Linked DNA regions of Caenorhabditis elegans. The protein of the gene in region 2 interacts with the protein of the main gene of each other region in a pairwise test. Each region holds a gene or a part of one and is shown on either strand. Other genes may lie near its edges.

The links.
Region 1: the proteins of nhr-49 (region 2) and nhr-71 interact in a two-hybrid assay, tested with the Caenorhabditis elegans proteins (4 studies listed by BioGRID).
Region 3: the proteins of nhr-49 (region 2) and ttr-27 interact in a two-hybrid assay, tested with the Caenorhabditis elegans proteins (2 studies listed by BioGRID).
Region 4: the proteins of nhr-49 (region 2) and scd-1 interact in a two-hybrid assay, tested with the Caenorhabditis elegans proteins (2 studies listed by BioGRID).

What each region holds. Positions count from the first base shown.
Region 1 is NC_003284.9:13,744,217-13,752,733, forward strand, and holds nhr-71 (Nuclear hormone receptor family member nhr-71), read left to right. Parts: upstream 1-3,230; coding exon 3,231-3,254; intron 3,255-3,638; coding exon 3,639-3,740; intron 3,741-4,363; coding exon 4,364-4,481; intron 4,482-4,574; coding exon 4,575-4,873; intron 4,874-5,192; coding exon 5,193-5,528; intron 5,529-5,575; coding exon 5,576-5,682; intron 5,683-5,832; coding exon 5,833-5,960; intron 5,961-6,011; coding exon 6,012-6,163; intron 6,164-6,218; coding exon 6,219-6,384; intron 6,385-6,839; coding exon 6,840-7,153; downstream 7,154-8,517. UniProt on the Caenorhabditis elegans protein: Orphan nuclear receptor.
Region 2 is NC_003279.8:9,866,268-9,875,440, reverse strand, and holds nhr-49 (Nuclear hormone receptor family member nhr-49), read right to left. Parts: upstream 5,724-9,173; coding exon 5,654-5,723; coding exon of another isoform or gene 5,650-5,653; intron 4,214-5,649; coding exon 4,116-4,213; intron 3,530-4,115; coding exon 3,388-3,529; intron 2,748-3,387; coding exon 2,392-2,747; intron 2,343-2,391; coding exon 1,779-2,342; intron 1,731-1,778; coding exon 1,620-1,730; intron 1,482-1,619; coding exon 1,317-1,481; downstream 1-1,316. Other genes in the region: K10C3.5 (Elongation factor-like 1), read right to left, coding at 6,511-6,846, 7,613-8,179, 9,059-9,173.
Region 3 is NC_003283.11:12,901,297-12,906,738, reverse strand, and holds ttr-27 (Transthyretin-like family protein), read left to right. Parts: upstream 1-2,640; 5' UTR 2,641-2,655; coding exon 2,656-2,821; intron 2,822-2,868; coding exon 2,869-3,134; 3' UTR 3,135-3,189; downstream 3,190-5,442. Other genes in the region: ttr-29 (Transthyretin-like family protein), read left to right, coding at 8-194, 242-369, 419-556; ttr-28 (Transthyretin-like family protein), read left to right, coding at 1,571-1,754, 2,104-2,231, 2,292-2,429.
Region 4 is NC_003284.9:12,521,384-12,528,505, reverse strand, and holds the start of scd-1 (Suppressor of Constitutive Dauer formation), read left to right. Parts: upstream 1-2,784; coding exon 2,785-3,088; intron 3,089-7,122.

The DNA.
Region 1 (8,517 bases), on a different chromosome or scaffold from region 2:
TATGATAAGTTCGACATAATGGCAGTTTTATTCTGTTCAATTTTGGCTGCAGTGTAGTTCATTTCATATTTTCCCCGTTACGCGACATTTTCAAAACTATTATTTTATACTTTAAGCATGCATTTTGTATTGTATCAAGTATGAGAAAGAACAAGTACACGTTCAATTCTTATTAAGATGTGAGTTTTAATTTTGACAGGTGTAATTTATTTGGTACATACATTTCATAGTTTTCACTTGACTTTCATAATGTTTCAATTGAAGTTTTCAAAAAACTTTTTTTTAAACTGATTGTGAGAAAAACTTTACTTTTGTGCTCCAAACCCGACACCGAATTCGTGGTGTAAAACAAGTTTTTAACCACATTTATCTTATCTTTGGAAAATTCTGTATGGATGTTGTTCCAAAATGTTTGCATAATTCAATACCAAACTACATGTTTCTAGTGCCAAAACAAGAGTATAGTCCGCACTACAAAAATCAGATAGCCGTATGGAAGGTCTGGTAATGCGGCAAAGATTAAGATCAGGCCAAAAAGATTTTTGATCTTCCCGTGAGCGCACTTTTTTCTTTCTTTCTCTATTTTTATTGAGGTAAGAGTCACAACTGAGTAACGGATGATGGGAAAAATGTGTCTTTTTCTTTCTTTTTTTGTTCGAAACTTGCTGTTATCATTTATCACATTTTGTGAGAGTGAAAAGAGAAAAGAAGCATACTGAAAGTGTAGTGTCCAGTCATCATATGCGTTGCCCTCATCCCGTTCTATCTCTCGTACACTTTTTTTTTTCAAAAAAGTTTCCGATTATCTTCTTTTCGTTTCTAGCTGATTTTTTTCGTTTTGGTGATATATCAAAGTCATCACATTTACGTGAGATACTAAATGATTTAGAGACTTTCTTCTGATCTTACGCCGACTCTTGTTGATTTAATTATTGTGATAGAATTAACGTAGAAACTAATTGTTCTAGTTGTTCGAAAAAAAAATCAAGTATGAAAATGTAAAATTGAGATTAAAAAATTGATCTATTCCGAAAATTCATATGATAAAAAAAGGTTAGCTGTATTTCAATTATAAATAAGGTAACAAACGGAAGCCCTTTCAACTTTTGGCCTATCAAAAACTTTTTCGAGTGGAAATGAAATACAGGGTGGTCCGTAATTATAGACTACCCTGTATAAATCTATGGCATCAATACATTGAAATTGAGCTCTGAAAATGTTAGCAATCCTATGGTAATTTTCTCAAATGTTTAGTCAAGTAATGCAACAACTAATCAACTTTTTAATATACAATACATATTCCATCATTAGGATTACTGTTTTGCAATTTATGTGAAGTAATATTTAGATTACACCTAAAACCTTTAACAATGTATAAATAATTCAAGCTGCAGTGCAGACTTTTGATAGTAGTGTTTACACTTTAGAATAAAGAAAAAAATTTAAAAAGTTGAATCGTGTAACACAATTATCTACACATTTGATCACTCTCTATTATTTATCGCTATTTCGCGTCTCGGCGCCTCCTTGTAAAGTACTGTCCACTTGATTTATATCTCTTGTCCGCCAACACCTGCCAATCGATTTCCTTCCCTTCCATTTTCTTCCAATTTTCGGTAATTCCGGAACAGCGTACTTTTCTTATGTTAGAAATTAAAGTGGAATATTAGAGAGAAATAGAGAAAGAAGGGACAAACGGAAATGCCATCATTTGCGTTGTGGAGAATGTTTCTCTATGTTCCTCTCTTATGTTTGTCTATTACCGGGCATGGTTTTCCTGTGATTTGTTCAACATTTTCACAAACCACCCACACATTATTATTATACTCTTTGTATCCCTTTTTTGTTTTTTTTTTTTAATTTGTATGCATATAAATGACTTTTTGAAGTTCGAAAGATCAATCACCAAATCTTATCAAAGTTGTCTTGCCGAACAAAATTTTATTGTTTGCATTTATTTCATTCAATGCATATTATCATATTACCAAATATGGTGGCAGGTCAATCGATTTTCCTGTTCAACTTTAAACCATAGTCGAGTCAAGATAGGATTAATTGAAATAACTGCAATTCTAAAATCGATTTTCCGCGTTTTCATTGATCAGTATCATGACAATACTTTCACTCTCACCACATTCACCACTATCACCACCGTCATCAACGCCATACTTGTTTGCTTGAAGGTTTTCGAGACTGTCTTCAGTTCGTCAGCTTAAAATCATTCCGCGTGATTGTACAATCTTTTTTGACACTTTATGATAGTCTTCTCTGCTTTTTGTGGATGGTCGAAATATCAAAGGAATCATTTTTAAGCGGGGCACAACTGATAAAAATCGAGGGAAATTCATAATAGGAAAAGTTAGATTGCAACTTTTTGGTTTTGAAATTTTTTGCGATTTATTTTTTTAAGGCGTGAAAAATACAATATTTCTAATTCTTTGCAGTTCGTAAACTTACCAGCAAATACTTTTTTATAATCAAAGTCCACGGTTATCAAAAGAGGCAATTGTTCTTTTTACCAACTCAACAACTTTTTTCTTGCTCCCCCTTTTTCTTTACGCTCTCTTTTACCTCTCTCTCTCTCTCACTTCTCTCACTTGCAAAACTGTTGCCACACAGTCGCCATCCTCTTCTCAACTAACCTTTGCCACGCGGCAACTGAAAGTGCGCCCTATTGAGAATGCCCACCTTGCACACCAAACACCATTTGATCGAGTTGTCGCAACTCATTGCGTTTTTTTGATTGATCGTCCCTCTTATTTTGTTCTTTTTAATTCGAGCGATTACGTCGCGTTCAATTTGAAAATGCACTGTTTCCTGACATAGATTTTCAATATTTTTATATCAAAACCCGTGCAAAAACTGGGAAAATTTGTGATGTTTGCCTTCATAGAACATCCGTTATTGTGTGCTTAGTAATCGAAAAAAAAAATCATTTTTGTGTTAGAAATTGGCAAGATTCTCTATATTTATATCAATCAAAAAACAAATTTCCATCCAAATTCTCATATTATCACCTCCCGTTCTTTTTTTGCATTTATCTCTTTGCCTCTCCACCTCGCACATATTCATTTCTGAATTAGTTTTCTTTTCTCCAGCTGAAAAGCGAGCCGCCCAGCTAGTAGGAGCCGGTGACAAACAAGTCGTCGATCCGTCGGAGACAACAACATCTCCACGCTGCCCAGCGGTCTTGAAGTTGTCGAATTCAGGATTAATCACCGGATTGGATGATGAAGGATGAATATAACTCGCAGGTATAATTTTTTAATACGGAAAAAAGGCTTCTTCAATTTTTATAATTTCTTGCAACCAAAAAGTTGGCATGGCACATAAAAGAATGCTCGTGAGAATTTTGTCATTTTTTCATGAATGACTAACAAAAGAGGGCTCTGTTCCATTTCAGATGATGATGTATGTGCAATGCTTTGAACAAAACCAAATAGAACTTTGTAGTAAAAACGAAATTTAAAATTTACAGAGAGAGCCAAATATTGAAATTTGAGCTCTTTTACTTTTTTATAACATGATAAATATGAGGGAAGCTATTTAACTTCAAATATTAAAATATTTTGTAATATTAATGAAACTAATATTTCCATGAGAAAATTTGAAATCTTATAAGAAAACTTTTATTCCAGGAGTGCATGGTATGCTCAGCTCCGGCCGATGGACTTCATTATGGTGCAATCAGCTGCCGTTCCTGCAACGCATTTTTCAGACGAACTGTTGTGGAGAAGGCGGTAGGTAGCACTAGATAGGAGTTTATATTTGTTTTTTGATCAGTCTCAAAACTCAAAATGTCTTGTTGCTCTTTTTGTGGCAACACAATGGCTGCTGCACAAAAATCACTCTTGATCTTACAACTCGTCTGTGAAGAGCGTATGCAAACATTTCCATAAGCTCATTGGGCTTTCTGTTGTTTCTTCATTTTAGCGATCTAAGATCACCTTGTTCCCCCGGCAAAGGCATCAATGATGAGAGGAAAATGGTAGCACACCACGTGTGGAGGGTAGAGATGGCTAGCTCTGTTGGTTTTGGTTTTCTTACTGATAAAAATTTTGTTATTGACTTAGTAAGAACAAGACGAGAAAAAATCGATCTATGAAGCTAATACACAAAATTAGTTAGTTGTGTATAACTTTGATGTGGCTAAACGAAACAAATAATTATAGTTCTGGAGATATAGATTTATTTTGAAAATACTGAGTTTATTGACTAGTGAGCAAAACTGTAAACAATTAATGATAATATTAATTTCATCTTTAGACTTAGAATATATTGTTCATTAGTTTTCTATTGGAATATAATACCTTTCTCCAAATCTCAACACCATATTTAAACTTCACCATAACCGTTTTCAAAGCTCTTTCAGGAGTACCGCTGCAAGCACACTAACACTTGCCTGATTGACCCGGATGGACGATGTGCCTGCAGATCTTGCCGGTTCACCAAATGCATCGAAGCGGGAATGAAAATTGGCGGTTAGTGAGCAAAAAGCACCTTGAAAGTTTCGGCAACCAACAAGCAAATATCTACTTCCTGGTGAGAATGAGTTGAAACTATCATCTTTTCAGCTGTCCAGCCACGTCGTGACCCAACTGGCTCGCAGAAAGAGCGACGAAAACGTGCCGGAGGCGTTGGTGAGATGATGTCCATGAACAATAGCCCGTTGGAGCGAAACGGCAATAGCTTCTCGTCGGATGGTCCGACATCAAACTCATTCATTGTTGATGCTATCAGGACAGATTATGGGTTTGCAACACCACGCCGAATCTCCACAGACTACTCGAACTCGCCAGACAGATATAGAAAATATGTCAAAATTGAATTGGATGATGAGCCAATTCCAAGCACGAGTTCTGCTCCAGAAAAGGTAGCGAATAAATTACTACAATGGTATAACTCTGGTGTCGCTTAAAAAACTGATAACTGTCATGTAAAAAATCGATAATTTTAAAACCTTTTCAAAAAGTTTGTCGCTTTTACAACTTTTGTCTGTGAAAAAAGCTATGTTATACTCGTTTTTTAATTTTTGTTTGAAAATGAGTAAACATTGAAGCTACAGTGTGGCCGATTTTGGACGTATATGAGCACATATTTTTAAACAGTAGCAAAACCTCAATGTATCGTGTACAAATGGGCAATATGTTTTATGATTATTTTTAAAAAAATTAAGAAAAAAATTTTTCCAGCAGTCCTGCCAAAGCAGTCCTAATGACGACGAGCAGCAGGAGTTCAACCACCTGGTGTACGCGTTTGGTGAACATCAACGCATGATGCAACTCTCCTTCTCCACGTTTGAACAATTTCTGGATGAGCACAGTAATGGGCCAAAACTTCGGCGAATGGACCCACTCGATGTGAGCAAGTTATCAGCTGTGGAGTTGACTGGCCTGTTGTACTGGATTGAGAAACAACAACCGTACGGAGAACTGCCGGTGGAAGATAGATCATCGCTGCTCAAACGGTATTCTGTACGGAAGCTCAGTTTGGACCATTTTTACAGTGCTTCCAAGCATCCTGAATATGTAGGTTGCTAAATTTGAATTTAACAGAAGAATAATTTTTATTTTAGTGTGCTCGTGGAGAGTTTGTCATGAACAACTTTACATTTGTGCCTGCGGATCGGACCGGATTCGAGCTCCCCGACGATGATCCACATCAGATTCAAGCAAAGAGGGAGTAAGTATTACCTTCACTTCAGCTAAAAGCACCCGAAAGGGGTCACGAATCACCAAAATACCACTTAACCTATGTCGTCAAACAATTAACGTCACCTAACCCTGACGCATTGAGAACTAGAACACAACGCCTCTCGTTTTTGAATTCTAGACATTGCAGAACCTTCGCGCCGACGTTCAACCGATTCTGGAAGAACGTCATCCGTCCATTTGTGCTGATGAAGGTGAACGACGCAGAAGTTGTGTTTCTGCACATTATGCTTCTGTGGAGTGTGACGAGTAAGTTGAAAATTGGATTTTGCATTCTTACATTTGTTCAAAACATTGCAGATAATGAGCATGTGACGGAGGACACGAGAAAAGTGATGAAGCAGAGACGTGATTGGGCAATGAATCGACTTTTCGACTGGTACAATGAGCATGGAACATCGGATCCTCCCCTACGATTTGGACAAATGATTTTATTATTAGGAGAAATTGAGGTAAGATTTTATTTTCCAACTTTGTGCAATAAATTTCAATTTTCTACGTTTTCAGCTCATCTGTGACATGCATTGCCAAGACTTCCAAGTGGCGAAGCTCTTCGAGTTTTGTGACATGAGCAAGTTCTGGTACGAAACACTGTGCTACGCGCCGTGCAACACAAACGTCCTGAAATTCGATCCGAACCTGCTTGAGAATTTGAAGAGATTCACCGCAATTAGTATGTTTTTGAACATATGACCTTTGGGAAACAAGAGTTTGAAACAGAGATGACAATTTTGTTAAAAGCGTATTGGAATTCAAGAAAAGGGGTTTTTTCCGTGCAGAATAATATTGTATTTTTTTGACACACAAGTTAAATTGAATCCAAAATATGGGTTTTTACTTTTTGTATGAATACAATCGCCATTAGATCGTTATCTTTATTTTTAATTATTCAATTTTCATCAACTTTTGATAAAAACATTTCTAATAAGAAAGTCCTTGTTTTAAATTAATATGATATTCAAATATAATAATACTGAAATTATTTTCGATTGACTGTTTAGGCAAATAATAAAAATACGCAATAAAATAACTAATGTACGTAGTTGGAATTTTAATCTAGATTGTAGAAAAACCTGTATTAAATTTTTTTTTTAATGCATATAAAAATTCAACAAGCTGAATTTCCAGGTGTCATGGAAAACAACGGCGGTCTTCGTCCATTTGTGAAAACAGAAATCAAACAAGATCCGGTACTATACAGCTCGCCAGAAGTCATCGCTCCGGAAAGCTGCTACAACGACTATCAAACGGTGGATATACCGGTGGACTGTAATCCGCACACAGAGCCCGTATCCATGGATCCCAACCTTGCAAACATTGATCCTGCCGTGCTCGTCTTCAATGCTCATATGCTGCCAAGTGTGATGGCGCCATTGCCCGATGATGCGGATTATCATCGACCGCAGCTTTATCACACGCAAAGTGAGGAAGTGATGACTTGACTTGTTGAATTATATTGCCTTCCTAAATCTGATGTCATATACTCCCTTTATTGTTGATTATATAGTTACTTTATTTAGTATTATTTAGTGTTGATTTGTTCCCCGGTTTGATTTTCAATCTACTCTTCTGTATAGGCACAATTGCTCCCCCTCACTACCTTCAAAACTTTGTCAATTAGTCACCAACTTCCTTTTGATTTCCAATGATCTCAGTTTAAACGCATTCCACTCATCATGTGATAACTATTGAAAATTTCTAGTATGAATTGATGCACGATTCGAAATATTTAACTACTCAGCGTTGTATTTTGAGATAAACATTTACGGTCCCCCCCTCTCTGATCCCTAAGAACCTTTAGAATTTACATTCTTCCAGTTTCCCGACAAATTGTGGTTACAATTGTGCAATGAAATGTTTGTACTTGTAAGAAGTGTATTTTATATCGGTTTGAAAATATGGAAAATTTTCAGGAAAGATCCATTTTGAATATCTGAAATTGTCTGAATCTGAATATCTATCTAAGATATCTAGAATACCTGAAAAAACTGGCGTTAGATGAAAAGTGAACGGTTTTCACGAGATTCAGGGATTATTAAGGGTACACTTCAAGTTGCTGACTTAATTTCAGTTCTTTCAATAAAAGTTTTCTGACTTCTTTTAAATCAGTAAATTATGAGGTTTGACAATTTTGAGATTTATTAAATTATGTTTTTCTGGTAACTTATTATTTGTTAACGGTCTGTTCTCTATTATATTTTCTGTGCTTGTTAAAAAACATAAAAGTATAACACTGATAATCTAACAAATAGTTTGTTTCCTTTGTTAGTTTAATTTAAAAAAAACAATATGGTTGTGGTGAGACTGAAATGCTTCACACTTACAGGCTGCCCTATTATAAAAACCGTTGGCTTCGGCTTAGGAAATAGCCATTTCTAAGACTAAAAAGGGAAAATGCACATCACGTTTTATTAAAATGGATAAATAAATGGTAGTTGAATTTATTTCAAAAATGAGGGGTTACAATACACAACTGCCATTGTCCTAACAATTAGCTGAAGAGCCTTCCCCATATGCCAGACTAGGGACTGTTCAATTCGTTGAGCAAGTACTATATTTTAACATTTTTTGCCATTAGTCGTGCTTTCAGTACCTAATTTTAACTTCTGGTGGAAAAAAATTTTAATTTGCAATGGCATCAAAACATTTTACCTTCATTGTTGTTTTACAATGAAATAATTTGTACTGCAAAACTTATACTCAAATAAAAATATTTCAATGTTTGAGAAAACTGCATGAATTATTAGAAATGGCATGAGAACGGAGATCGTCCGTGGCAGCGATAAAAACCATTCAATGCATCAAA
Region 2 (9,173 bases):
ATTGAAGCCACAAAAATGTGTGCGCCTTTAAGTAGTACAGTAACCAACTTTCCCGAAGTTAACCTTTTCTTCAATTTTTGAAAATTTCTCTCAAGTTCTTAATAGAATTTTCTCTTAAAAATGATTGAAAACTGAAACAAGTTGTTACGGTACTTTTTAAAGGTTCACATTTGATTTTAAGAACAGATCTTAAAGAAAGATAAAATGTTGACCGTTTTGAAATCTACTACTAATTGTTAGTTACCAAATTCTTGTCTCAGAATGGAAAGAATATCAAAAAACCAAAACAAGCAACCCAAAAAAACTAAATAAAATGTCCAAAACTGGCTGAAGTGTATGTGCTCCAAGAGGTGTGAACTCACCCACCTAAGCCTAAATGCTCACAATTTCTTCATCTTCCCTCTTCCAATAGACATATCATCACTTTTACCCCGTTATGTACACTGTTCGGATCATTGAATTGATCTCAAGTGTCTTGGGAAATGGTCATATATCCACTATCATTTAGATGATCGTGTCAATTGAAATCAAAACAAAAATCATCAATTTGAAGAGTTTTAGAGAAATAAACAATTTAAAAAAATCTAATTTTGAAAAAAAAAACTAAAAAGCTCAGCTTCACCTCCAGCAGCTCACACCAGGTGCTCAAACATTTGGAAAACAATACTTTTTGTAAATTCTTCTAAATTTCTAAATTGCAATAAAACTTACGGTCTTGGTGGAGGTGGTGGAGGACGTGGCATTGAACTTCTCGAGTGAATTCATAATGATGAGTCAATTGTGTTTATTTGATACGAATAATAAAATATGGTATAATAATGTATTTTATCGATGAGCTTTGAAAAAGTATAAATAAAAGTTTCTTTTTGCAAACATAAATTGGTACGAACGCTTGAAAAGAAGGAAGGAAAATGGGAAGAAGGGAATCTTCTAAATAGAGATGGGAAATGCCAAGACAGTCACTTCTTATACATATTGAAGTACTAAACTGATAATTTGATTGACAATAATAATCACAAGAATAAACGAGAGCCAGCCCGTCTGGAAAAAAGATTAAGGAAGAAGAGTTGGGGGAGACGAGAACAATAACCTGATATGATATAGAGATGGCCTAGACAGGTTTCAAGATGAAACAACTACTGAGACGGAAGGGTATTCTTCTTTTGTTATGTACATTATAGCTGGGCTCTGGACTATTTTATAAATTGGGGGTAATGATTCAAAACAACAATAAGGGAAAAGATGAAAGATCACAGATTCGGAATAGAACTGGAGATGAGATGAGGTGAAGAGTTTTGGGAGAAAAAATGGAATTATTAGAGCATATGATTATTCTGCTCACTGTTCAAAATGGAATCTTGTGATTGGAGAGGATGAATTGCCAATGGAGCTGCAAGAGTTGCTGAGAGCATTCCAGTTGGTGTAATTCCAGAAACAGACGAAACACTTCCCACTGATCCGGCTGGATTTAACGGAGATACCTGAAAAATATGAATTTTGAAATGGAAGATCTTTTTTAAAAAGAGAATTTTACGGTTTTTCCCTGAAATCATTGGCCGTTTTCGCTATTTTTGTATTTTTTTAGAATAAAAAGTTTAATAAAATAATTAAAAACAAACCCCATTAGTCGGTAACGTTGTCGGAGATGAAAGATGTTGCTGTAAAGAGACCGGAGCCGTCGAATGATCATTGATGTCGTCGAGAATGAACTCGGAGAGCAGAGAATCCACCTGAAGCTATCATTTATGTACGGATTCAAACAAGAAAAGCTTTCATACCTCTGCCAATCCGAAGAACTTTGTAAGTGTCATATTCTCAATGAGCAGCTGAGTCAGAGCCTTGAGAGCCGGTGCCAACAACAAAATATTTCCATATCTTGTGGGTGCGTCATCTGGCATCTGATCGAGAATGAATGCATAAAGAGCTTTCAAAACACGATTTCTAGCATCACGAATCATAATCTGTGAGCTATTCGAGAGTCCTTTGGCTTCTGGGTGCAAGAATGCAAGTGCTTTCAAACATACAAATTCTTGTTCTCTCATCTGAAGTTGTCGCATTGGCCAGACAATTTCATCAAGAACTCTGGGTGTTATATTGCTTGTTTTGAATGCAGCAAATCCATTGAGGTCAGTGTTATTGTCACGTGTCATATAAGTATTGTTGAAGAGACAAACTCGAGTTGTATCGGGACTTCGAAATGCTGGCATCAAAATGAGATGTTGTGGTGCATAGTTTTTCAGTAGAATGATCTTATCTTCCATCGAAAGATCCATGAATGGATTAATTGTTTTTGCCCATTCAACCATCAATAAAAGTGTTGTCCTGGAGATTTCATTCAGATCCTGAAAATAAAACAATGTGACCTCTTAATTTACGTACCATCCAACTCACTACCTCGGTTGTGCATGGCCGGTTTGGTGGTGCAAATGCCGATGCTCCAGAATCACTTCCTTGTTGAATATCTGTGTCATTTCCATTCGACCCCCCACTGCCGTTTGCAAAGATTTGCGATCTTCGGTATCGATTACACATCTCTTGATTGACACGAGCCTCCATCTCCATTAAAGCATCAATGACACTGCTGGATTGTGGAACTGTTCGCATATTCTCTTGTCCCATACCGTTTGATCCGACACCGTTGCTGTTTCCGTTCTCGTATCCGGGGCTTCTGTCTTTTTTGAATGGAGTCCCGTTGAGACTGGCTCCAGATGTTGGTGAACCTACAGGATCACGTTCGAATTGAATAGCTGAAATATATTAAATTGTAGAATTGATCGTGGATGTGATTCAGATGATAGAACATGGACCTGAATGACAGAAAATAGTTGTTAAAATTTGTATTTTTGAATTCCCACGAAAATGAATGAAATATAATTATAGTTTACTATATTTTCGACATTTTTGCGTTTTTCGGTAATGTTTATTGTGGCTTTGTTTCAATATAATTTTTTGGTAAATTTAAAAAAAAAGAAATCATTCAAAATTTAATACAATTTTTAACAGTTATGTTCTGTCATTATGACTCTATTTCTTCTTTAAAATAACGAATTAAACATGAAAAAACATCCAAATTTTAAACGTATGTAGAATTAGATACGATATTTTGCTCCAAAATTATTTTTTCTAGATAGAAAACTACGAAACAATTTTTTTTTAGAAATATCGTGTTTTGAAATGGAATCTACGGACAGGAAAAGGAAAGAAAGAAGAATATATTCTAAATTCTGAGTTAACGGGGCAAATTTCCGAATCAATATCTCAAGTTAGAATCTTTTTTGCGGCCGATCTCATTTCACGGACGAAATTGAAAAGAGGTCACTGGTGAAAAACATGAGGCCACTGTGTTTTGGATATATTCAAATATTGAACGGAAAGAGAAATGAATACCTTCTCGTTTCATTCCAACTTGTACACACTTTTGAAAGCGACAATAACGACACGCGCATCGAAAGTTTTTGTCAATCACACATCTTTTGTTGAAACGGCAAGTGAACTTCTGATCACGAAGAACTGTTCGGCGGAAGAATCCCTGAAATTCATGAGTTTTATTAATGCGGGATAAATCATTAAAAAGTTCGAGATGATAATCATAACTTTCAAAAACCAGTTAAATTAATACGAACTTTTGCAACCATAAAGTACAGTACTCGGTCTCGTCACGAACAATATGTTTTCAAATAAAGCATGCGCGAAAAGCGTGGGTTACTGTAGGTGGAGTCAATATTACTTTGCTTTAAAGTGAGGAAATTGTTTTTTAAAAACTACTCCTGTGGTACCAAAGTTAACAAAAAAAGTTAGAAAATTTTTATTGACAGTAAAAACTGGCAATTACAGTTTTTGCCACTTTTTGAGAAAACTATAGCCCTGTCGCTTATCGAATCCCTATAGTGTTTGATTATTAATATTTGAAACATAAGTAGTCCATAAAATTATAAGGAAACAATTTTTTTGATCAACGACTTCCAAAAGTGGCAAAAACTGAGATTTTTCATTTTTCAAAAAAGGAAAAAATATAATTTCCAAAATCATTTTTCGTGACGAGAACTGAATTTATAATTTCACATAATTCTAAATATAATTTATTTTTTATTATTTTATAATTTATCCCTTCTCACCTTACACCCGTTGCAGGAAATGACTCCATAATGGGTTCCAGTTGATTTGTCACCACAAACGGCACATGGTTCCGCAAGAGGATCTACTAGGTCCATGACTGAAACAATTAAACTTTTTACAACAAAAAAAACAAATGAAACACGAAAAAAACCAAACAACAGATAGCAACGCAAGTTTTCAAAGTGAAAGAGAAACGACGAATGTCACTTGTTCATGGAAACGATGAAATAGTGTTGGAGGTAGAGAGAGTGTCAGACGAGTAGAGAAATCAGAGTCAATGCAATGGCTTTAACACATGATAGACACACAAGAAATAAGACAAAATTTAATATAAGTATTGATAAGCCTAATGTAAAATGTCCTGACGATACGGTGGATTAAAAAAAACGATTTGCCGTATCTATTGCAAATCGACTATGACGTCATAGTGTTTCAATGGTGTCTTTAGGAGTGGAACGCATGTTGTCTTAATAATAAAGGACCGGCAAGTGCACACAATTGAGATGCATTGACCACTAGGCAGATGAATGGGCCGCGTTCAGAAATTGTAGGTTTTATATTAGACCTTATTGGTGAGGATGTGGAGATAATTCAGCAGCATATAATTAGAATTTCCACTGCTAGAAGGACAAACTTGGTACTTTCAATTTATTGTTTCTGAATATAGAACAATTTTGAACGTATATTCAAAAAGACCGAAGCTCATGTAGAATGTTTTTCAATAAAGTATCCTAATCGAGTCCAATAAAAGTAGAAATTTGAACATTGAAAGGGCAAGCCGAAACTTGATAGCTCGGAAATTTCGAGCCTCCCAGTTTAGCAGATGTAGTGTAGGACTAAACGTGTTGCTATTGTAGCGAAAGTAGAGAAGATTGAGAAATCATCCGTCTTGAGCAAACAAAAGGAAACGCGAAGATCAGAAAAGGACTGATGTGGCACACTCTAAAACTGGTCGATGTGTTCGGCAAGATTCCAGTAGTCTTTCTCTCTCTCTGCTCACTCCAATGAGGTATTCTTAAATGCGGATGCTATTTCAAAGTCTTCTTGATCAATCTTGTCCGACGGATCGAATAAGATAGACGGTCGCGCTAAGTAGTGTCGTTCCTTTTCTCTCCAAGATCGTAAGATCTATATCTAAGGAGCGAGGAGATGTAATGCATCGAATAAGTGACCGACGAGGATCCAGTTGTAGGGTTTGGTAAATTCTGGTAGAAAATGAGGAGACACATCGAAGAATGACGTTCTAAGAGAAAGGGCATTTGAATTACTTTAGAACTTTTAGAAGAGCCAGGTTAATAAACTCAAAAATGTACATATTATTTGAACGTATAAAAATCCATATATACCCATATAGTGGACTTTGCAAAGAAGCCATCCAAAAATCATTCTATTAATTTCTGGATTTCAATGAGCAAGTCGCTGATTGGTTTTGTAGTTCTCAGTTTGGTGGAAAATTCAAAAAGGCATGAAAGTCGATATTTTAAAAGTTGACTTTCTTTCAATGTCGCTTGATGTGTCCGTTATAAAACTTACTTACAATCATCTGAAGATTCTTCATCAATTTGATTCAACTGAATATGTTTAGAAGCATCAAGAAAGTAGTCCATATCGTGAGAACGGAATGAGTTGACTAACAAAATGATGAGTATATACAAGGAGTTTGCGAATCACCCCATATAAACAGGAAGTGAGAGACTACATTATGTAGTTCAGTGTTGTTCGATGCCCCGTACTTTGTACTCTCAAAGCTAATTGGGACCGGCGTCGTCTCATTTAAAGTCAGTCATTAAATCTATGAACTTTTGATTGTGGAAAAAAGCTGAACTACTGGCAAACAGAAAGGAAACGAAAAAAAAAGAAAAGAAAATGGTGAAAAAGAAGAAGAAGCTAAAGCTGGCAGGCCAGTCGGTTAGAAGGACAAAAAAGAGACAGTGGTTGGTCAAACATGTCGAGAAATATGAAAAACTAGAGAGAATGGAGTTGACAGAGACACCAAACAACGACAGCCAACCACCCACAGCACGTTGACAATCGATAACAGGAGAGGCGCAGACCTTTAGAGATGAATAGATGAAAAGAGGTAGAGAAAGATTGTAAGAAAGTTCCTCTCGACCCTCTCTCCCGTACTACGCTATACCCATCAGGTCGTTGACACCACCACACGTGAATGAAACAGTGTTAACCGAGTGAAATTAAAATGTTTCAGATATGCCTTATATGATAAGTTAACATTTTTGGAGCAAATATTTTCGAAAAGTTCAAATTGATGATTTCAATTTAATTATTTCTTTGAAAAAAACGAACAAAAAAAAACAAGTAAAACAATCAACAAGATTAAAATGTGTCAAAACCGGAAATTCAAACAACAAAAAATATCACGAAACTAAAAAAAAATTATTTATTCTTTTTCAAATTCCTCTGCTTCTCCGCCGACTCCACAATCAGGTCCTCGGTTGGCAGTCCTTTACGTCTTCTAACTGCATCCATATATCCTCTTGCATGATTCGGACTGTCTCCCTTCAATCCGAATTCTTCAATTTCTTCCAATGTAGACGGCGTCCAGTAAGGATCCTCGTCAATGACTTGCCAGTGAGAAAATTGAAGTTGAGCAGAAGCCATTCCAGATGTGAACTTGCGAAGTTGATCACAGAAAGAGAACGATTCGACGACGGGCATTAGGGAGACCACTTCGAATAAATTTGTAGCTTCATTGATGTCCTCGGAGAGTACCTGAATTCAAAATTATTTTTTATTTAAAATTTAGTATTTATACAACGCCATTAAAGTAATAGTCAAAATTCGAAATTTTTGAAACAAAATGCTCATATAAATGAGATTGGATATACCGTATTTATTTGTTTAATCGGCACACTAAACCATAAAATCTATTTAGATTATAGTTGGAAAGAAGATTCATTCATTATATTCTCTCCATATATACGTTATTTGCACAGATGCGTCGAAAATTACAAAAATTAAATACTTCGTTCACATGCTCAATGGGCAAATCACATTAAATATTGACATGGATTTCAGGTTTATATTCGAAAACAAAAAAAAGGAAATTTTCGAAGCCGAAAAATTGAAAAAAAAGGAAAGTTTTGTAAATTTGAAATTATATATTGAAAAACTTAAATATTTTGGTCAAAATTTAACTTTTCATAATTTCGAGTGTCATTTTTAGAGCTATATCAGAATATTTCGGATTTTTTTTTCGGAAAAAAAATTAAAAATTAATTTTTTGTAAATTTGAAATTTTATTTTGAAAACTTGAATATTTTCATCGAAATCGCACTCTTTCTAAATTTTCTAGTGTTTTTTTTTTTTGAAAACATGTAAAATTTAAATTTATCAGTTATCAGGATTTTCGGTTTTTAAAATAGAATCGTTTTTTTTCTTCAAAAAAGCGAAAAATCTACTGCCCTGATGGATATAAATATTTAAATTTATAATCTCTAACTATATTTGAAAATGTTCTACAATTCTCCATTCCTACTTTCGATTTTCTTTGTGACAAAACGGCATGAACTTTTCCCAATGCCTGACTGGCTGTAGTTACAGTACACCGGTACATGGCAGCGACAAGGCGGAGTGCAAGTTTTTTAGCAGCAGCAGAGCATGAAGCTTTTATTGCAGTCATCATTTGTCCTCCAATAGCTCCATCTTCTTCATCAACATTCCATTCTTCAACAATAACTGCTATTCCGTGCATAATTTCATTGCAAAGTGGTCCAGTATTACAGAATAATTCAAATCCAGCGACAAGTGCTTGATCATATCTTCTAACACCAAATTCTGTTTTTCTCCAAACGGAATCTCTATCATAATTTTGAACATTATTGAATAGAATATTGGCTCTTGCTCTTTCTGGTCCAAATGCCCAAATTTGATCAATCATTGATTCAATCACTTCCTTCGGTTTTCGAAACCACCAAGATCCTTTCAATGTTGGAAGCGTTTCCAGACAAACGGATGTAAATCTTTTTTGGAACTCATCAATTTCGGTTTGATCGGCTTCTCCTCGACGAATCGATGAAATTAACGAAGAATTTTTGTCGAGCAACTGAAAAATTGAAGGTTCCTCGGCAAATCGCCGCAACTTATCCACCAACTTTAGCAACTTTAGAAATGCCAAGTGCAAAAGTTGCTAAATTTTGGTAAAAAAGTTGCTAAAGTTGGGCAAAATAGGTTAAAGTTGGGGATGCCCTCAAAATTTGCACTGAAAATTTTTCTAGAATTGGCTAAACTTGGTTAAAAAGTTGCTAAAATTGGTGGATAAGTTGCAAAACGCTAAAATTGGCGCTTAAGTTGCTAAAGTTGGTGTAAAAGTTGTGACGAAATGCCGAGTTCGTTGAGGATTTTGATTTAAATTATACATATAAAATTTCTCTGAAATGCATAATAACCTGAGAATTTTAAATTAAAAAAAATGTTCTCCAATAATTTCATTTCAATTCGGCAAAATTCCGCTTTGCTTCCTTTTTTCCCATTTATTATATTTTTATCGAATTTTTTAGATAACTTTGAAACCTTTCAAAACCAAGGGTGTCGGGTTTTTCCGATATTTTGATTTTTTTTTTGATTTTTCGAAAAATAGCTCGAAACTATTTATTGGTAATTATACCTTTTTTTAATTATACGTTTTCTGATGTTTCATTTTTTGAACTTTCGTTTTTCGATTTTTCGATTTTTCCTGAAAAATCGATACCGGTTAAAAAATTTTTTATTTTGCGGAGTGTTTTTTTTTCATTTTCAAAGAAAATTAGAACAAAAAAAGAAAATTTGGTCGCGTTACAGTAACCATCATGCGATTTTTTAATTCAAAAATGTTTCCGAATTAATTTTTTTCGCAATTTTTTAATTTTTTAAAAAGTACTAAATAATTTTCCTAATTTTAGACTATGTTTTTACAATTCAAAAAATTTCAAAAAAAAGTCCTAACCTCGACAACGGCATCTCCCAATGGAACAACTCTCAATTTGATATATAAAGCTTCTCGAATACGGCATTCGGTCTCTTGTTCAATAATTTGTGGTGCTGAGAGTACAGAATCTTCA
Region 3 (5,442 bases), on a different chromosome or scaffold from region 2:
ACACGTCATGGTCATAAGGTTAGCTTCCCTTCTTGTCGCCTTGACATTGGTCTTTTGCCAAGAAGACAATGAAATTGTTACCAAAAACTTTCTCGGCATCGGAAGAATGCAGGCTGTAGCTGTTTCTGGAAGACTAATCTGTAATGGACGACCAGCTACAAATATTAAGATCAAACTGTATGAAAATGAGATTCGTAAGTTCTACTATGAAATTGCCTTCCGAAAAAATATTACATTTGAGTGTTTGATCGACTCATGGAAGAAAGCCGTACAGATTCAAATGGACAATTCAGAGTTTCTGGCTCAAAACGAGAAATTTCAAGGATTGACCCAAAAGTCAACGTTTATCACAAATGCAATTATAATGGGGTTAGATTTGTGTGTTTGTCAATTTTTTAAATTAAATGTGAATTTTCAGTTGTGCTCCAAAAAATTCACTATAAAAATTCCAAAGGATTATATCAACCGTGGTAGTCAAGCAGAACGAACATACGATATAGGAACACTAAACTTGGCAAACAAATATCCAGGAGAATCTACCGATTGTATTAATTGATTGATTTGGTTACTTTTAATTACACATATTTTCAAATAAACTATTCATGAGCAGGTCTTGTAGAATAATTGAATTTAATAGTAAGTATTATTGACTTTTTCAGCCGCTGCGTTTCTTGTCAGACAACAGTTATTCTGTAAGATAATTCAAAAAATTGTAATATTGATTGTGGCTCAATTTTTTGGGCTACTCAAAGTTACCATAGCTGGGCTATGCGGCAACCAAAAGTTTAAGCAACTGGCCATTATCGCCGAAGGTGCTGAAAAGTTTCATTCACACGAAACTGTCGGTTGTCTAAATATTTCGGTAACTTTTCCGGACTTTGTCGTTCTTTTGCCAATTGCCTAACATTAATTTTCTAGTACCTGTGTTTCAGAGTATTTTAAGGAAAATTTATTCACTTTTTTATTTACAGTGAGTTGTTTGCAATTTCCATGATGTTCGAATGCTTTTTTCAAAACAAATAATATATGTATTTGATGTTGACATCACCACTGGTTCACAAGTTGCCGGTTTCTGCAAGCTGAATTTTTTGTCAACCTGCAACTATCGGTTGGCAAAATTTGTATGATAAAGTTCTTATAATACTTCGTGTTTCCTCTGACTAGTAATACACTTTTTTGAAGTCTGTGAATAAAAAAAATCGATTTTTTAACCTGCGTGTAAACCTGCGTGCTCACAAAGCAGAAAACACAGTGCGAAGGTGAATTATCTTTGAAAATTGTTCAAGAAATGTCTGTAAGTGTTTTATGACTCAACATGAGATTTGTGAAATTTATGTTGACTTAGCTACCATTTTGTTATTACCATGTGTTGCTCACTCATCAACAAAAACCACCAAAAGACCAAAAGTACGAGAGCTCGAGAAGTGTCTCTAAACACAGAAAAATCTTCTCTCAAACAAAAATCACTTAACACATGTATGGGCAACAATGTTTGCCATTTCAAAAATGTGAAACAAAAAAGTTTAAATAGTCCTGACATATGAGAGAAAAGCGTAGTTTGGATTGAAAAATGTTCATAAATATGTTAGTTTTTTCTCTGTTATGCGTTTTCGTTCTTGGACAAAACGATCCAATTGCTACAAAGGATGTATTAGGAATTGGAAGTATGCAATCAGCTGCTGTATCAGGAAGATTGATTTGTAACGGGAGACCTGCGGTTGATGTGAAGCTTAAATTGTATGAAAACGAAATATGTAAGTCGCTTTTCAATCATTTTCTACAATTTTTTTTCTATACATACAAATGTTTTTTATATTGTAATTCGAAAAAAAAATCCAGTTGTTTGGAGTCTTAGAAATAATCTCTCAAAATCACAAGTGACTCTAATAGCAAGGGCAACTTTCTCAATAAAAATTAAAAAAACAGTTCTTGAAATTCTATGAAGGATACGTTTTTAATGCTCTAACACAACCGACTGATGAATCTCCATTTTTATCAGAAAATCGGTCAATATCATAGATTATCTTGCTTCAAACTACTATCCACTACCACTATGGCATAACAATTATATTTTGATTGCTTGATTTAAAATTTTTTTTCAAGTTTTCGATCGATTGATGGAGGAGGGGCGTACTGATTCGAACGGTCAATTTCGAGTGTTAGGATCGAAAAGAGAAATCACAACTATTGACCCAAAGCTAAATGTTTATCACAAATGCAATTACAACGGGGTAAATTATTTATTGACATTTCAGAATCACTGTTTTATATTTTGGTAATTTTGTTTTTAGCTATGTGATCAAAAATTCACAATTCACATTCCAAAGGACTACGTCACTTCCGGTAGTCAACCATCACGAACTTTTGACATTGGCACATTGAACTTGGCCAACAACTTCCCAGGCCAATCTACAGACTGTTTAAACTAAGAAGTAAATAAGGAACCGATATAGTTCAGCGACAAACCACCGAAAACTTTAATTGTATTTGAGTATTTAACATTTGAAAATAAATGGTTTTTCGTACTGTGTGCCAATAGTAATTGTGTAAATAGCAATGTCTCTTTCTTTTTTCATTCCTTTCTTCAGCAAACACCTACCGTTTCTACCATATAAATAACTGTTGAGACGACAAAATTTCAGTTCAAATTTAAAAATGTGCTCTTCCCCGACTACTTTATTTTTGCTATTTGCTCTTGTTTCTACAAGTTATGCTCTATTGGGTGTTGGCCGAACACAGTCAGTTGCTGTATCTGGAAGAGTTATCTGTAATGGACAACCAGCATCTGGAGTTAAACTGAAGCTTTATGAAAAAGAATCAAGTAAGTTATGAATCTGAAACTTAGTTTCTGATTAAAATTTTTTCCAGCCTTTGATGTACTTTTGGAAGAAGCAACTTCAGATGCCAATGGACAATTCCGACTATCTGGATCAAAAACTGAAATTTCAACTATTGATCCAAAATTGAACATTTATCACAAATGCAATTACAATGGTCTCTGCTACAAAAAGATTGGAATCACTATTCCAGATAATTATGTTTCATCTGGAAAGACTCCAAGCAAAACTTATGATATTGGAACATTGAATTTGGCCAATCAATACACTGGACAAACAACGGATTGTATTAATTAAAACTAGGCACTCAAGTGATGTATTGTAAATAGTTGAATAAAATTTTGAAATTGTATTGATTCAAAAATTACTGATTGAAGTACATTCTTTATTGCCACACACCTGCTCCGAAGCCGTGGAGTATTGACATTATTCGAAGTGAAACTTGTGCATGAAAACGATTAAAAACTTCGTGTCGAAAAATTTTTTCCGTCTTGAAAAACATCACGTTTTTAAAAGTTTTATTTCTAACACAATTATGAATGTTCTGAAAATGAATGCCTTCTTTTATCAGCTACCACCACACCATTTCTGGAATTACCAACTGAATTTTTCATGCCTCTTTTATAATTTATTTTGTGTTTTGAATAACAAGTTTGGCATGTTTGCTTACAGATTCTAAATGTTCCATGAGTGAAGCTAGTAAAAAGGCAAAATTGTGTCAAAAATCCTAAAACGCATTATTTTCCCATGGGGTTCAGTTGTCGAAAGCGTCCTTCGCCTTCTTTCCTTCTCCTTCTTCATTTTTTCCTCTTCCAATTTTCATCCGTTTAGTACTACTACTACAACTACTGCCACCTGTCCATTTATTTCCAGTCATCTGTCATTTATTTCCATACAAAACCGAATGGCAATATAATAATTCGTTCGTTTTCGGAAGAGGTCGTGGAAACTTGATTGCATTCGAATTTCTTCCCCTCAAACTTGTTCCGGATATCTTATAATGGGCAGACACTTTCCTATGCAAATTCCACTCTCACCCGTTTCGCGCTCATTTTTGTGTTAATCGCCGATGGCCGCCGTTTCTAAAGAGACGCAGATTTGTTGGTCGGCATAGGAACTACCAGCTCTTGCAGAAAAAAAAAACGGAATTTGTTTTAGGCCGAGAACTCTCGGGGGTTCATTGTCCCTTGTATTGTTGGGTCAAGCTTGCCCTCGTATAGTCGTAGATGATGAATGTTTTCATGGAGATTCTACTTCTTATTCTGCAACTTCTTCTTTTTCTTCTTTCGAAAATAAAACAAGCCATTCGAAAGTTTTGAGTTGCTCTCTTTTCGATGTGTTCTGGTGGTCTAAATTCTATGTTTATTTTGTTTCTACTTGAATGACACTTTCGGCTTCTTCTTCTTTTTCTATAGTTTCCTACTAATATTATCGTTTGCATCTACTTTTCACAAAGGTTTCTTAATTTGATACTTTGCTCGAAACCGCAGACTAGAGGTCGTGTTCAGTTGTTTTCAAAATACCTTAATACTTATTTATATTAATTTATCTATTGAATTTAGTCATAATTGTTCTTGGAATCAATTTCACTGGTAACGTTTATAAGCTTAACGTTTTTGCTGGATTCTGCATATAGAGGGAACTTTTTCAAATTGGAAAAACTAATATTTTTGAACTTTCACCAAGAGGTGATAAAATTCTTGTAAATATTTTAGTAATATGCCTATTTTGCAAGATTCATAATTTCTTCTAACTGAAAAGTTTGACTCTTTGAGATGTTTAAAAACACTCCTTTGGAACTTTATTTTTTCAGAGCATTTGAGGAATTTTTTAATATTTTGCGATCGTATATCTCCCTTTCCAAAATATTTCGACTTTAATTGCTATGCATGGCTTGTCCATACAGTTGCAGTTTCAACATATAATTTTTCCGTACTATTTTCAACGTACCTCAACTATTATTTAAAAAAAACACTTTTAGTTTGAGTTATAAATTAGTTTTCTACAAAATTTGTCAAAAAATATTTTTTACTATGGAGCAAGCCAGGAAAATTTACAAAAGCGTTGTACCACAATTTCTAGACTTCTCAAGAAGGACATACATTTCTGTAATGAAGACTCTAAGAGAATCACTTGTATTTTGCAGAAAATAATAATCTCGCTAAAAGATAAGCCGGCGAGCACCAAATCGTTTTTCAAACGTAATCCTTATTGCGTAACTAACTCAAATTAACCATCTCAATCACCGATGATCGGATTAATTAAGATAACTCACCTGTCAATTGAGTTAATTGTGCACTCTCCTACCCAATCTATCCAGATTACATATTCATTTTTTCAAAGAGCTCTGCAATCGACGTCGTCTATTCTTTCTTGTTCAATCTCTCCGAATGCTTAACACAATTTCCGGACAGTCGGTTTCAATGGGTCGCTTGATTGAGAGAAAGTGTATGTGAAAGGGCTTCTCCTCTCTCACTTTATCTCCTCCTACTCTGTCACCCCCGTGTGTTCAAAAACCTACTTCTTCTTTTCTTCCTTTCACTATCCTTTTATTTTCAAAACCAGATTTTCTGACAAGAATCGTATCGGTGTGTTTCTTCATTCA
Region 4 (7,122 bases), on a different chromosome or scaffold from region 2:
TGATACCACTAGCTTATATTTGTATACCTAAATCTTTTGGGCTGGAGTTGGCAGTCAAGATCATGATTGAACTTTATTGTGCAATTGCCCCAGAAGAAGATAGTCCTTGTAAAAAAGAAATCTAACAAAATTTTAAAATTTTATATCAGTACGATTACGGTATTTGGCAAACGATAATTTTTCAAACAACATTTTAAACTAGTGAGAATTAATAAAACTTACTTTAGATACTTAGATACTTAGTCGATCCGTTCTTCGCCTACGGCGCGGAATTGTTTTATTTTTCTGAGATGTAGGATAAATAGTTGGCGTACTGGAAGTGAAAACACTGTATTTGGAAATACTATAATTGACTTAGTGGTTGTGGCTCTTTCGACAAAAACGCCACTTTATTTCAAAACAACAAAGTCCCCATCATGATCACTGAAATAGTCAAAACTGCATAGTTTTAATCAATATCATGTTACTCCAATATAGTGTAAAAATACCTAAAATCACGTTTTCATACATAGGCACATAAACTTCAAGTCAAACTGATGCCCTAAAAATACACCAGATTAGAAAGTTTGGGCAACAGTTGATTCAATCAGATCCAGATATTGTTTTTAACTTGTTTAAAATGTGTAAGGATTTAATGTTCTATTTTTACTAACTAAGTACGCATGAGACAAATGTACTTTTTTTTAATTTTGAAACCACTTTTACATGTTTTTTGGTATCAATTGTTGAGACGGCTTCGTTTTTTCTCACTCTTTCATTTCTCTAAGCAATTATTTTTAATTTTGTTGTTAAACATACTTCGAGCTAAGAAATCGTTTTTATAAAACCAATCTTGACGCAAATTTCAAATCTCTTTTTTATGGGGTAATTCCCGGAAAAGAAAAACAAAACTAATTTCAGAGCAAATCATTATTATGTTACACGAACCCGGTAACAAAATTAAATCGGAAACCCCGTAGGTAATTCTATATTTTACTCATAGCCAAAAGTTCAAGTTCTAGTGCAAATGCTGCAAAAGTGTATATATCCGTTCTTTTTTTTCCAATTCCTTGCCATCGAGAAAAAGAGCAGTTTCTAACCGAGCTGCCAGGTGCCATGATTAATCGCCGTGCCAAGATGAAAAGATTGAATCCATTCTCTGGATTGCAATTCCCATTTCATTTTTCACTAAAGAGGATTTTTGACCTCAGGAATTTTTTGTGCTCCCGCGGTCTTTCCTTCACTTTTTCTTTTTGCTCTTTTCCTCCTCGTCATTCCCGACTTGCATTTTTCTTACGGCAGGAAAACTATAAAGGAGCGGAAGGAAGAAGGAAGGAATGAAAAGAAATATTAGGGAAAATACACGATGTGAACCTTTTTTTATTGTTTCCTCTTCTTTATTCTCCAATCGACAACTATCATACTCAACCATAAATCGCCTCCACTCAAAATTCCTCTGGTTCTGAAAACGATATTTTCTGATTTTTGAGCCTTTGTGGGCAAACAAGGCGGAAAATTTTCGAGAAAAATGGAAAATAAAGAGCGATAAAATTAATTCGATTTATCACAGGAACGGAATTCTTTTTCAGAGTCCTTCCATTCATTTCGGTATCCCACAACCACTTTCTGACATTCGCATGCTCTTTCTTTTCTGAAATTTAAGTGAATTTTTCATCAATTTTCACTTTTCTATTTTCCGACTTTCCAGTCGTTCTAAAACTGATTGCTGCGCAACCTCGTTTTGTCCGGCTTCTCCAAGGTAATGCAAGGCGGTCCGCAGGATGACCAGCACCAAAAGACGCTCTTCAAATGGGCCTGACTCGGGAGACAGAGGAAGAGGAGAATTTCCTTCCCCTTTTTTCCCCATTCCCACAAATCAATCCTCCTTTGTTCTGTTTTGACACCACTGCATGCGTTGCGTACATACGTGTTTTGGATGTTGTTTTTTTCTCGATGAGTTACTAATGTTTTGATGATCTTGTCGGGATCAAGACTGAGATGCCAAAGAGCAAGATCAAAATTTTGTAACGTTGATTTGATTGAGCTGATTCAGTCCTAACTGTTTTTTTTACTTTCTAACTGGACTCTGTGAACTGAAACTGTTGTATTACTCTAGATTCAATATATTTCAATCTACATGATAAAATGTATACGCGAACTGTAGCACTAAAATAAATATACTGTTTATATCTAAATTATTTTGTAACGCACAATTTTATTTCCCTCATTTCCCTATTTTAAGTTTTCTTGTAAAAAATGACCAGCGTAATAAAATGTTCAAGCTTGTAGATCATTGTTGCTGCTGATGGCTGTTGGCTTAAAACTGAAACAGAAATTTCAAAACCTTCTGGCATGTTCACGTAAAGATCCAAATAATAATAGGAATGTTCTTGAGGTTCGGTACCAAAACAAAGATTCCGAAACCGGAAGTAAAGTTTTTTTAAAATAGTTTAATTACAATCTACTGTATCACGCTAAAAATACATCATTGCTACTAACGTTAATTTAGTAGCGTAGATAATTTTTGAAATGTAGGCATTGTCTGAATTTCCAATTTTTGCGTATCTGCATCCCACTCTTTGTCTTCTCCCGGCCCATTTTCTTCTTGATATATGAAAATATGTTGTTGATTTTATGAGAACACACGTCTGAACAGTTATGATTGAGATAAAATAATTTCAAGTCTTTGCTTTTCTTCTTTTTAGAATGATTAGATACTACTGATATATTCCTTTTTTTTCAGAATTCGTTACACTTATCAACCTGCAATCTGTGATACCATATCCGCCTTATAGACATAACACAATGTGGTTTAATGGAGGACCACCGGGACCACCTCCACATGGTCCTCCGCCACCTCATCTTCTTCACGCACTTCCACATCCAGCATACCCGCCGGGTCATCCACTTCACATGCCAGGAATGACAATGATGCCCATGGGTCCAGTGGGTCCGCCGATGATGGCAGGGATGCCTATGAGACCGATGCCACCACTTCCGCCAATGACACCAATGGGTTCGATGCCACATCCAAATGATGGTGGTCCGCATCCGATGATGCTTCCTGGCGCGCCGATGACTCAACAGCGTCAGAGGCCTGGTATCAGAGGTACGTTGCACTCTTGCACACTTCACACATAACTGAACTCATTGTTTTTTCTTGATAAACTTTGTCTAGCTTGAGTTTTGAAATTTCTAACAAACTTACATGGAGAGAATGTAAAAGGTTCTTGTTGCTCAGCCATTAAATTGTTAGTTCACAGTATTACATTGCTTGATGATCTTAAGACTCACTGAATAGAAATATCTAGGAAATAAACTGTGATATTGGCAATAAAACGAGTTTCAAAATTATGTTTATAACCAAACTTCTGAACATGTTAGTTTTCATGACCACAAGGGGAATGATAGGGAAATATTATCAAATTATGTGATATAGGAAATTCGAGAACAGTTACGTCCCTGACGTTGATTTCAAAAAGTTCTCGTCGCATTAGTCTGGAATTTAGTTCTTACGTGTTATCTTTTCCCCAGGTGAATGATATTTTCTAGCTCTTTAAACTAGATTTTCACATATTCTGAAAAGAGCTTCCCCGATCTAAATGTCTCACTATATCTTTTTTTAGATGATGTGTGTGAGAAACCTGCAATTTCAAAGGCGCTTCAAAAAAATCCGCACAGCCTATAATTTTGTGATTTTCTAAATTGCGCATGTCTAATTATAGTCTGCTACCAGATGTTTCAGTAATCCTTCCTGTCACGGATTAGCCTTATTGGATTTGTGCAAGCTACGAGGGGTTTCTCGAAATGCGAGATTACGAAATTAGACATTGTTGATGTATTTATGTTATGATAACTTGAGGTGACTACGTAAAAACTAATACAAGATGTGTTTACAGAAATGAGATTAAGCTTACCTGCAAGTATATAACACCATGAAAATCCGGGAAAATGGCAGATCAAATGATACGCTTTCACTTGCTAAATAATAGGCTATTCTTGTTAAAAATTGAGCATACCTTTATTATCTTATGATTGCTGCTTTCCAGCATGCACAGATTTCTGAATTATAATTTTAACGGAAACTAGAAATATCTCAAAATGCTGTTAAACTTCCACGTGTTGGGATATGAATCTAGCAAATATATTAGGAATCTCTCACAAATTTCTAATCCACACCATCAATATAGACAGCTCCTTTCGGGGTTTCAAGCTTTAAAAGGCTCAGATGGTTCTATGTCGGTTTTCAAAATACCCCTTTTAGGGTTAAGTTTTTCAGAATTGAATTGCCTTTTTGAAACACCACTTAATCATCTATGGCAACCCACACTCAGAGTCAGTTGAGCAGTGATTAACTGTGACTTTCAAATTTTAGCTATCAGAAATTTATCAATCTGTTTCTTCTTTAAGATAGCTAACTTCTCTACATATATGTGAACACATATGTTTGAACACACGATTATAGTCGTATTACGAATTGTTGTACAAAAACTTATTTGTGTAGTTTTATTTAAAGTAATGCATGCAGATGCAAAAATTAACCAAAGATCTGATCCCTTCTAGGAATACAAATTCTGAAAAGAATTATCGCTTTACGTAAGGATAATGTCAGATACTGCGATCAGAATACGTGTAGACACGAGCATATTGAAATCATGATGACTCCAGGCTAAATTCAAAAATTTACGTCGATCATGAATATTTGTTTCAATGGAATTTACTAGTTAGTCTAGCTTTAAAAACTTCAAACTCAAATTTTAGGTAAACAATAATTACCGTCTCATATAATATTTCAAAATTTCAATTTTATAAGTAAATACTAATTATACCAGTCATTATTAAAGAATACACTGTATTTTTCTGGAAATTGAAACTCGTGTATTAATTCTGTTAGAATATTTGCGATATATGTATATATATATATTTTATTAATTTTCTGATTATCTTTAGAAATTTTTTTTTGAAAATCTTCTTGATAAACTCGTTTTTGCAAACATAAGCTACACAACCCAAAATCCATTCGTACTCTGGTCATGGGGAACTGGATGCTGACTACTACACAAAATGTGCTTCACACCAATCTTATATCTTATCACCATTTATCTTTTTCTACTCTCCTGTATCTTCAAATGATCGATCACCAAAAAAAGTAGCCCGCAAGCCAAAGTCCGTAGGTACTTTGACCTTGACAGTCTCTAATTGATTCCTTGTACACACGATCTTACTGTAACCCTAACAAAAGTTATCAGTTCGCGCTGTCCCACGGCCTTGATCACAGTCACAGGAAGATGGGCGAATGGAATCTAAGGTAACATAAAATACGCTCGACCATCTGATGATGGACGGAATTAGGTGGGAGGCTGGGCGGCCGCACCATGTGATTGATTCGAACTTTGTAGTCTTACACACGTTTGCTTCGATTTAGAAACCGAGAGAAAAATAGAATTTTGCCGAAAAATGAAAAACAGTAGATGGGAGGAGGGATGAATTTGTCTTCTGTCACTTTTTTCTCTATTTCCCTAGTTCCGTTATTTTTCCTAGCGTTCAATTCTGATTTGCAACTTGCCAATAATGTGAGGTTCCTTTTTTGTCCCAAGCATGTTTCACTGATCAAATGATTGCCTTGTCACCGCAAAGATCAAGCACATATTGCTCCCTCCGTCTGTACCTCGCTCCGTTTATTTGTACGCTTTTAATGATTGAGAGGTTTGCAGAACGCGGAGGAAATGTTTTCGGAGGAAAAAATAGCCCTGTGTTTTTCTGATCTTACAATTCGAAACAAAAAACCATTCCAATTTTCACAAACTAATAATTGTGAGCAATTTGGGTCATATGTTTTAGATTGTTGTGAGTAATTAGAACCAATCTATTTTACAAAATAAACTTCAGTATAATTTTTGTTTTTTTAATTACAACATTCCAACGGTGAGACGAATTTCGGTCACATTTCCAATGCAAACACCGCAAGAATTAATGAGCGGTTTACACAAAAGATATATCCTAGACAAAGCTGAACAAAGGTTCAATTTTGAAATAAGTAGACAGCCTAAAATAAACGTTGACACTGTGTATCGTTTACTGGAATCTAGCTCCATTTTGGCTCAATTTGGATCGATACTATATTTGTTTTGTAATACTTAACAAAATATTATGCAGGACGAGACTACGGCGAGTGGAGAGATAATTGAAACCCATTTCTATGATGCTAAATGACTAATAATGATTTTTTTTAATTGGAAAATTTTTTTATTGCCGAGCTAGGCGAATTTGCCGAATTTGCCGAGCACGTGTAATAGTCTAGATAGTTGAATGCTGAACTTTTCAATCATAATTAGAGCATAAATTTAGAATAAATTATCATTACTTATATATTAAAAAATACAGTTCGTCTGTCCATAGTTTGTAGTCTATGTAGTCTTTGTAGTTTGTGACGTCACACCCAAAGTCAGTGAGAGTTGTGGGCGGGGCCTGTCACCTTCGTGGTGAGACCCATCGTGGTGAGACCCTTCGTGGTGAGACCCATCGTGGTGAGACCCTTCGTGGTGAGACCCATCGTGGTGAGACCCGTCGTGGTGAGACCCTTCGTGGTGAGACCCATCGTGGTGAGACCCTTCGCGGTGAGACCCACATTTTTGGCGGGAAATTCAAACTTTCTGTGAAAAAAATTTTGGCGGGAAATTCAAATTTTCAGTGAAAAAAATTTTGGCGGGAAATTCAAATTTTTAGTGAAAAAAAATTTTGGCGGGAAATTCAAATTTTCAGTGAAAAAAATTTTGGCGGGAAATTCAAATTTTCAGTGAAAAAATTTTGGCGGGAAATTCAAATTTTCAGTGGAAAAAATTTTGGCGGGAAATTCAAATTTTCAGTGAAAAAAATTTTGGCGGGAAATTCAAATTTTCAGTGAAAAAATTTTGGCGGGATATTCAAATTTTCAGTGAAAAAATTTTGGCGGGAAATTCAAATTTTCAGTGAAAAAAAAATTTGGCGGGAAATTCAAATTTTCAGTGAAAAAATTTTGGCGGGAAATTCAAATTTTCCGTGAAAAAAACATTTGGCGGGAAATTCAAATTTTCAGTGAAAAAATTTTGGCGGGAATTTCAAATTTTCTGAGAAAAAAATTTTTGGAGGGAAATTCAAATTTTC